2 linked regions of the Nothobranchius furzeri genome follow. The protein of the gene in region 1 interacts with the protein of each later gene in a pairwise test. Links are inferred from orthologs where the notes say so. Each region holds a gene or a part of one and is shown on either strand. Other genes may lie near its edges.

Region 1 (3,306 bases):
GTACGGCAACCATACTGTATATTTACACACTTTCATAAAGAAACTGCATATCAAGCTTTCATTCAGATGACCTTCAACAGTGCTGCACCCTGCTGAGGGACATCCGAGTAAAACCTTGAGATGGCCATTTTCTGTTCACTAACTTGCTTTAGTAAATCCTTACTTTTGTTAAATAAATCAGTTGTTGAACCCCCACTGCTCTGTTTGGTCTCCTTTCTTATTACAGCCCGCCACTTCCAGTCTGGGTTGTAACAATCTGCAGACAGATTTCTGAGTATCTCCTCCTTTGGTACACAGATCCTTACGGAGCCATGTACTGTGAACAAATAGTTTCTCCATGATATTATCCAGCAAGGTCCCGTTTTTGTCAAAACAAGGGTGAGGTAATGAAAAAATAGAAATATTTCATTAAATTAACATTTAAATTATTTATATGCATCATTAAAAAAAACATGTTTTGAAATATATAAAGTGCACCAAACTTGACTCAGTCCATTCAACAATTCTAAATGGACAATTATGTAACTCATCAATTAATTATTTGAAAGGATAATTTGTCAATTAAATACTGAAAAAAATAAACAATTCATTAATGAGGCAAGAACTTTTCTCTCTCTGTCTCTCTCTCTCTCTCTCTCTCTCTGGAAGCCCCACTCTAAGGGAGTTTGCAGTGTATTAGTGAGTCATATATTGTACAACCACAGTCATAAAGTTTTCAATCAGTAGTTTTATTTCAGTATGTATTTTTCCAGTATCACAAAAAATGTAATTTTCTATGGTTAAAACCATCTAGCTTATGTGCACTTTTTAAAACACTGCCCAGCAAACATTCGGACGTTTAATGACAGTTGAACGGTCACAACTGTAAAATACCTGAAATTAAGAAAAATTAACATGACATCTACTGCATTTTCCTTGCCCGGCCTCGAACCCGGATCCTCCGGGGCGAGAGTCACCCGCTCTCCCAACTGAGCTATGCCAGCAACTGCTTGAATAGCAGACTTTTTTGTATAGATAGGTAGAGGGTAAAGTGCGGGGTACACTAACCAATCAGAGGACAGAGAAGATCTGCCACAGGCCACGCCTCCAGAGTGCCAAAACCCTTACAGCCGAGCGAGCAGGAGTCAGAAACCGAGCGCGCAGAGAGGCTGCCGAGCGCGCACAGAGGCTGCCGCGCGCGCACGTTTTCCTCTGCCGTGTGCTCGTTGACAACGCGCGCACGCAGGTTTGTCACTTGTGCACAACCTTGTGCGCTCACAGACACAGTTTGCTCCCTCTCAGTGCACAAATGACCTCTCGCCATGTATATTTCCGCTCGCGAGTCCCGTTCACACGCGCGCTGTGGACCCAATGCGCGTGCACGGGTTGTGGCACGCTTTAAACGCCATAGAAAACCAGCAGGAGGAGTAAAGGAGAGGAGGAGGAGCTCAGTAAGTTATAAAAACCTGCAGGAGAAGAAAACACCGAGAGGAGACCGAAAACAAGGAGACCAGCCGAAGAAAAGTACCGAGTGAACGTTTCTGAGTCTTTGTGTTGAGAAGCTGAAGCAAACATGAGTCACGTCGACGTGAAAAACCTGAAACCCTCCAACAAGTTCGAGGAAGAACATTATGACGAATATGATTATTACAGTCTGACCGACAAATACGCAGGTGAGCAGCTCTTTCCTTAGCCTGGAGCTAACGGAACTCCAGACCGGTTCAGGGTGGGTAAATGTGTGTGTGTGTGTGTGTTGCAGAAGGCTCGGCCCGAAAAGGCCGAACCAAGAAGGAGGCCAGCGACAACACGAACCGACACAACCCCGCCGGACACGAGCGGAAGATCGCGGAGAAACTCCAGAACAGCGAGAAGAAAGCCAAGGAGTGATGACCAAGGTGGAACAAACACACCTGCAGAAATAAAGTCTCCGTCCAGTTTGGGTTAACGGCCCCGCCGACAGGAACGCTGTTTGTTTAGTTGGATCCAAAAGCATCGAGCATTTATAAACGTTAAATTGTTGGATTTCTCCGGGATTTGGAGCGCTTCCTGCAGAGCTGCTGCCACGACGCAAACAGAATTAACCCTTTAAACCCGAGTTTACCACCTAAAGCAGGTGAAAGCTGGAACTGTTTGGTGGCTTCACTTAACCCAACTACTGCTTAAAACGCCCCATTTCAAGAAATGTTCTCAAATATTTGCATCAAACCAAAATCCTAAAATTGAAAGTTGATAAATAGATTTAAGTTGCACACAACATGTTTGCCTAATTGTTTTAATCCATTTGGGAGGATTGATTTTGACCATCAATCTATCTGGAATGATTGTGTAAAATGATCAGTGTTGTGTGCTTGGTTCTGCTCTGCAGATGTGTTTACAATAACCAGGCTTTGGTCTTTTGTTTTTAACAGGGCGACTCGGACAGCTTTACCTGGAAACTGACCACGGCCTCGACGTGCAGATTGATGGAGCTTGTTGGAGCTCTGCTGGGATTAACCTCGGCGTGGCGAAGAGCCTGCAGATCCAGGCCTCTTCTCTGATGCCTGCAGGGGTTGTACACTGATCTCTGGTGTTGGAGTTTACCTGAGTTCAGAGTCATGGCTCAGGCCACAGAGGTGCACCTTCGGTTGTGACTTTGCAGCTGAAGGATGGTTGTTTTTACAAGGTCGTTTTATAATTAAAATGTTTCAACTAACGTCAGAGTGTTGTTGTTTTTGTTTAGCCTAGAATCTCAGTGAAAGGGGAAAAATGTAAATGAAAACAAGGGCTATCTTTTATTCTTTTGTCATTGTTTCATAAATTGTGCGATGAAAGAAAAGTTATTTTCTCATTCTTGTCCTTTTTGTGTTTTAGTTCAGTGGACTTAAAATTGTTTAGATTATTGATAAAGAACTTGGTGTCCATATAAAAAATACACTTGACAAGTCCCAAAAATTTTAAATGTACCTCAGGGGGAATTTATTCAAGCATTTGACAGAATAAATGCTCTAAAGATGTCTTGACTGAAATATTACAAGTGACAAAAAACTTGAGATAAATCTCAAACATGCAACTGCTTCAGTTAAACAGACATTTTTCATTCTTTAACCAATACGGCTCATTGTTATGGCACGTGTACGTACGTCATAGGTGCTGCTACACGTAATTAAAAAGGAGGGGGGGGGGGGGGAACGGGGCGAAAAGGGTTTCGACAGTTTTCGACCATGGTTGCAGTTCCAGACACTGACCACAGCAGAAATTGGCGCTGTTCCTGTTACAAGCGGTAAAGCGACCCCTCAAACAGCCAAGAAGGAGACATGTAGTTAGCGTCTGAAGTAAATAAACACGTAA
Region 2 (4,172 bases), on another chromosome or scaffold:
CTTAGTCTTAACAACTTGTTTGCGAAATGGCATGCAGTGCGCCTGTGAATGTCACAAGTCTCGAAATTATAACACCACGCTATCGCTGGCTTCAAGACAGCTATTGCCACTTTGCCCGCAATGTGACGCGTTCTTCAGGGTCAACTCTCGCTCGTGAAATTCTTGTTTGGTTTTAGTGTCAGGAAAGAACCGCTGGTTTGTGTTTGGTAAACTGTGGCAGTGTAAGTACTAAGTGACTATGACGATTTGATGTTGTAACTTTGGCTGTCACTTTCAACCCCAGATGACGAGATGAATCCATTAACGAATGCAAAACTGACTTTTTAACTAGCCAGTTACTTAGCCCACCACAGGTCACTTTTGCATGGACTGTTGCGTCATCCTTTTTTAAGTCTTTCTCCATGTATATGCCTTTATTTTCAGCTGCAGTGAGAAGGAATCCGGTCTGTGTGGCATCTACGGAGGCAGAAATTATAAATACAATTAAAAAATGGTTCTACTGGGCTGGGGATAGGGACGCAAAAGGAGATTGCCCGCCCAACCAACCCCTCAACCAGCCCAGGACTCAGTCCAGGACTGACTTTTAAAAAAACAAATAAATAAAATATTCAAATTTTACTCTTGTTTGGTTTTATGTTTATGCACCTTGTACACACAGTAACCTAGGCTATTTCACAAGGCTATTTAACTAAGGCACAAAATCTGAATCTTCTGTACAAGGACATTTTATAGTCTATTAAAATGTTGAATTAAATTTAGCATAAGGTTCAGAATAAAATACAATCTTTTGGTAAACGTTTGGCTAATTATGGATAAGTTATAGTTCATATTTGGCTTTATTGTGGGATTTTGGGATAGTTATGGCTATGCTTTGGAAAGCCACATTTTATTTTGGGTAATCTTTTGGCAAACTTATGGTTACACTTTGATATCCTTTGGCCATTTTGTGGTGTTTTGGGGTTCTTTTGGTATAGTTATGGTTGTGCTTTGGAATTCCACAATTTATTTTGGAAGAATTCTGGCAACCTTTTGACAATCTATAATTCTATTTTGGCATGCCTTATTTGGGCCATATTTGGCCCATCATTCCACCCAAAAGAGTACCAAGACTGGCTTGCCAAACTAGTGCCAAAAATGATTCTGGCAACCTTTTGACAATCCATAATTATATTTTGGTGTGCCTAATTTGGGCCATATTTGGCCCATCATTCCATCCAAAAGAGTACCAAGACTGGCTTGCCAAACTAGGGCCAAAAAGAATTTGCTATCTGGGACTCCATACCAGTTGAGGGCGGTATTGCACTAAGCCGTTGTTTTTTAACCGTCAATAAAAACAACGAAGAAGAAAAAGAACAGGATTCGGCGCGCGAAAGCTCTAGCAGGAAGTGAGAGGAGCTGGAGGCATACGGCGGTCTGTTTGGTATTTGAATCTCTCAAACAACTTCCATAATCTTTAAACATCTACTTTAATATGGCAGACCCCAAGGTGAGGACACACTTTCTTTGTTAATCTACACATCCAGTTTCCTTTAAAATTAGAATTTCATGACGGAAATTGTATTTAGTGTCTGAAAATTCGCAAAATTTAGGAAAGGAAGCCAAGAGACAGATATGCGGACAATGAAGTTGCTCTCCGTGATGCTAGAAAAGCGTTTTGGGGTGTTTTCGCCCACTGTCATTCACGCCAGTTACATAAAAACATCGCTGAAACTAGTGTGTTGTACATTTGCTTTGAAATTTGACATAATATGTCGCTGTAGTGTTGAGGTTTACGAGCTCCGAGAAGTACACTGAAGTATCCAGCGAGTCAGCATGTTAGCCACATTACAATGCTCGGTAGCAACGTTAGACGATTAACATCAAACAATTAATAATTTATTGTTGTCTTTACGAAGTTGTATTAATCTACTCATCAGCTGGAAGCAGATAACGCGGTTAGCTGCGGTTTTTGCCTTTGTCTGCCTACTACAACAGTTGCTAATGCTAGCATTCATGCTAGGGCGAAGGGGAGAGCAACCCCGTGTTGTTTTATTAACAACAATGTTGTAATGAAGTCTGAGTTATCCCCAGACTAATGCAGAACTTCCAGATTAGCGTGTGTTTTAGTTGTTTTCGTTAGACCGAGTTAACAGCCCAACCATGATTAGCCGCGGTCTAGCGTCAGCCTTACAGGCCTCTAACTAGCCGGGCAACGTAGTTATCGGTTAATTAAACAACTCTAGTCTGACTGAGTTAATTTCATTTTAGAATTATAGCTGCATACTTAAGATATATAAACGATAATTGAGATCAGTGAATAAACACGTTTTTGTAAACCATCAAACCTGGAAAATGGCCCTCTGAAAGTTTTAGATGGGATTTTTTTCAATTTGTAGCTTCATGGCTTTTTCATGTCACATAAATTGTTGTCTTTAGCCATCCTTTAAAACTGACTGTACATCTTCCTGAATTTTTAAGCACTTTAATGGAGGAAAACGTGTATAATAATGATGAAAAGCTGCGGTTTATCAAAGCTCTTGTATTCCTTTACTGAAACATTTATTGTTTGTTGATGCCTTCACTTTGCTCCTGTAAATTCAAGAACCGCACCGACAAACATAAATGCTGTGCTACGTTTTCTAAACCCACTTCTTTTCTCTTAGGATCAGGAAGACCACGAGCCCACTGCAGACAATACAGAGGACTCCAATCACGACCCACAATTTGAGCCCATCGTGTCTCTCCCAGAGCAGGATGTTAAAACATTAGAAGAAGACGAAGAGGAGCTCTTTAAAATGTAAGATGCTTCATTTGTCGCATTTGTTTTATTTTCTTTACGGGGTTACAAATTTGATTCTTGACGTGAACATTAGCCATTTTCTGCCCAAATATTTGCTGTTGATTAAAATTTAAAAGGAAAAAAGCTGGTTATTGGGGAGATTCTACAAGCAATCTTTTATTTTAAATGCTCATGTTTATCGTTAGTATAAAAGTTAGTTTAATGAAGGACTTTCCTGTTTTCCTAGGCGAGCTAAACTTTATCGCTTTGCCTCTGAGAACGATCCACCCGAATGGAAGGAGAGAGGAACTGGTGATGTCAAGCTGCTGAAACACAAAGAGAAGGGTACAATTCGTCTCTTGATGAGGAGAGACCGAACCCTGAAGATTTGTGCCAATCATCATAGTGAGTCATTAAGTCAAACCACAATTCAAGACCTAGCTGGACTTGTTGGCGTGTGTACATTTAAATTAAAAGTGAACCCTTATGTATTCTGGATTCTTTAGCATCCTGAGTAAACAGGAGAAACACTTGAGAAAACAGGTCATGCTCATCTCTATCGTGACTAACCAGTACACCTGTCTGATCTGCAACTGAAGCTGGAAAATTGAGAATGATTTTGCAAAAGAGCTTCCGTAATTTCTCAAAATGTCTGCAGTATTTGGATTTATAAAGTAACTTGTGGTCTCTTTTTATAGCGGTGTTAATGACCCTTGCACCCTCTTGTGAATGACAGTTTTTCCCGTGATGGAGTTGAAGCCAAACGCTGGCAGTGACAGAGCATGGGTCTGGAACACATTAGCAGATTACGCTGATGAGTCCCCCAAACAGGAACTCCTGGCAATACGCTTTTTAAATGCAGAAAGTACGTACTTTAATCCAGGTGTTGTACTAAGAGCTGCTCATACGTGCTTACTTTTGCTCACACATGATCATGTCTGTCCACAGACGCTCAGAAGTTCAAGGTGAAGTTTGATGAATGCAAGGAGGAAGTGAGAAAAGTTCTAGAGAAATCAGGTGAGTAAAGCGTAAACCTCAGTTGTGAATGGATTGAGGTAAAGATGAACTCCAGTCTTTTTAATCATTTAAAGGCTGCAGACACACTCTGTTCTTTGCTGTTCACTCCAGCTTGGGACTTTTTCTGTCTGCTACATGAACACACAGGATGTACCAGTGCTAGCTTTACTACAGGGCTGGCGTCAGTATGTTCTGGGACACACACACACACACAGAGAGTTATCAAGTGGTGTAAATATAAAGCTTTGTGAAGAAAAGCTAGCTTGTTAAATTATTCATAGCTTTTGATGCCATGGCTTGTTTTATTGCTTCAACACAGGGGAAGACCTCGACAATGAGAACCAGGTGGTTGAGAAGCTGGGGGGGTTATCCGTTAAAGACAAGGTGTCTGCAGAAA

The links.
Region 2: the proteins of nupr1b (region 1) and ranbp1 interact in a two-hybrid assay, tested with the Homo sapiens proteins (2 studies listed by BioGRID and IntAct). The link is inferred for Nothobranchius furzeri from reciprocal best matches to the Homo sapiens genes NUPR1 and RANBP1.

What each region holds. Positions count from the first base shown.
Region 1 is NC_091745.1:29,321,872-29,325,177, reverse strand, and holds nupr1b (nuclear protein 1b), read left to right. Parts: upstream 1-1,354; 5' UTR 1,355-1,552; coding exon 1,553-1,652; intron 1,653-1,738; coding exon 1,739-1,866; 3' UTR 1,867-1,874; intron 1,875-2,387; 3' UTR 2,388-2,671; downstream 2,672-3,306. UniProt on the Homo sapiens protein: Transcription regulator that converts stress signals into a program of gene expression that empowers cells with resistance to the stress induced by a change in their microenvironment.
Region 2 is NC_091757.1:31,791,474-31,795,645, forward strand, and holds the start of ranbp1 (ran-specific GTPase-activating protein), read left to right. Parts: upstream 1-1,340; 5' UTR 1,341-1,471; coding exon 1,472-1,486; intron 1,487-2,642; coding exon 2,643-2,776; intron 2,777-3,005; coding exon 3,006-3,163; intron 3,164-3,494; coding exon 3,495-3,623; intron 3,624-3,706; coding exon 3,707-3,775; intron 3,776-3,852; exon of another isoform or gene 3,853-3,980; intron 3,981-4,094; coding exon 4,095-4,172. UniProt on the Homo sapiens protein: Plays a role in RAN-dependent nucleocytoplasmic transport. Alleviates the TNPO1-dependent inhibition of RAN GTPase activity and mediates the dissociation of RAN from proteins involved in transport into the nucleus.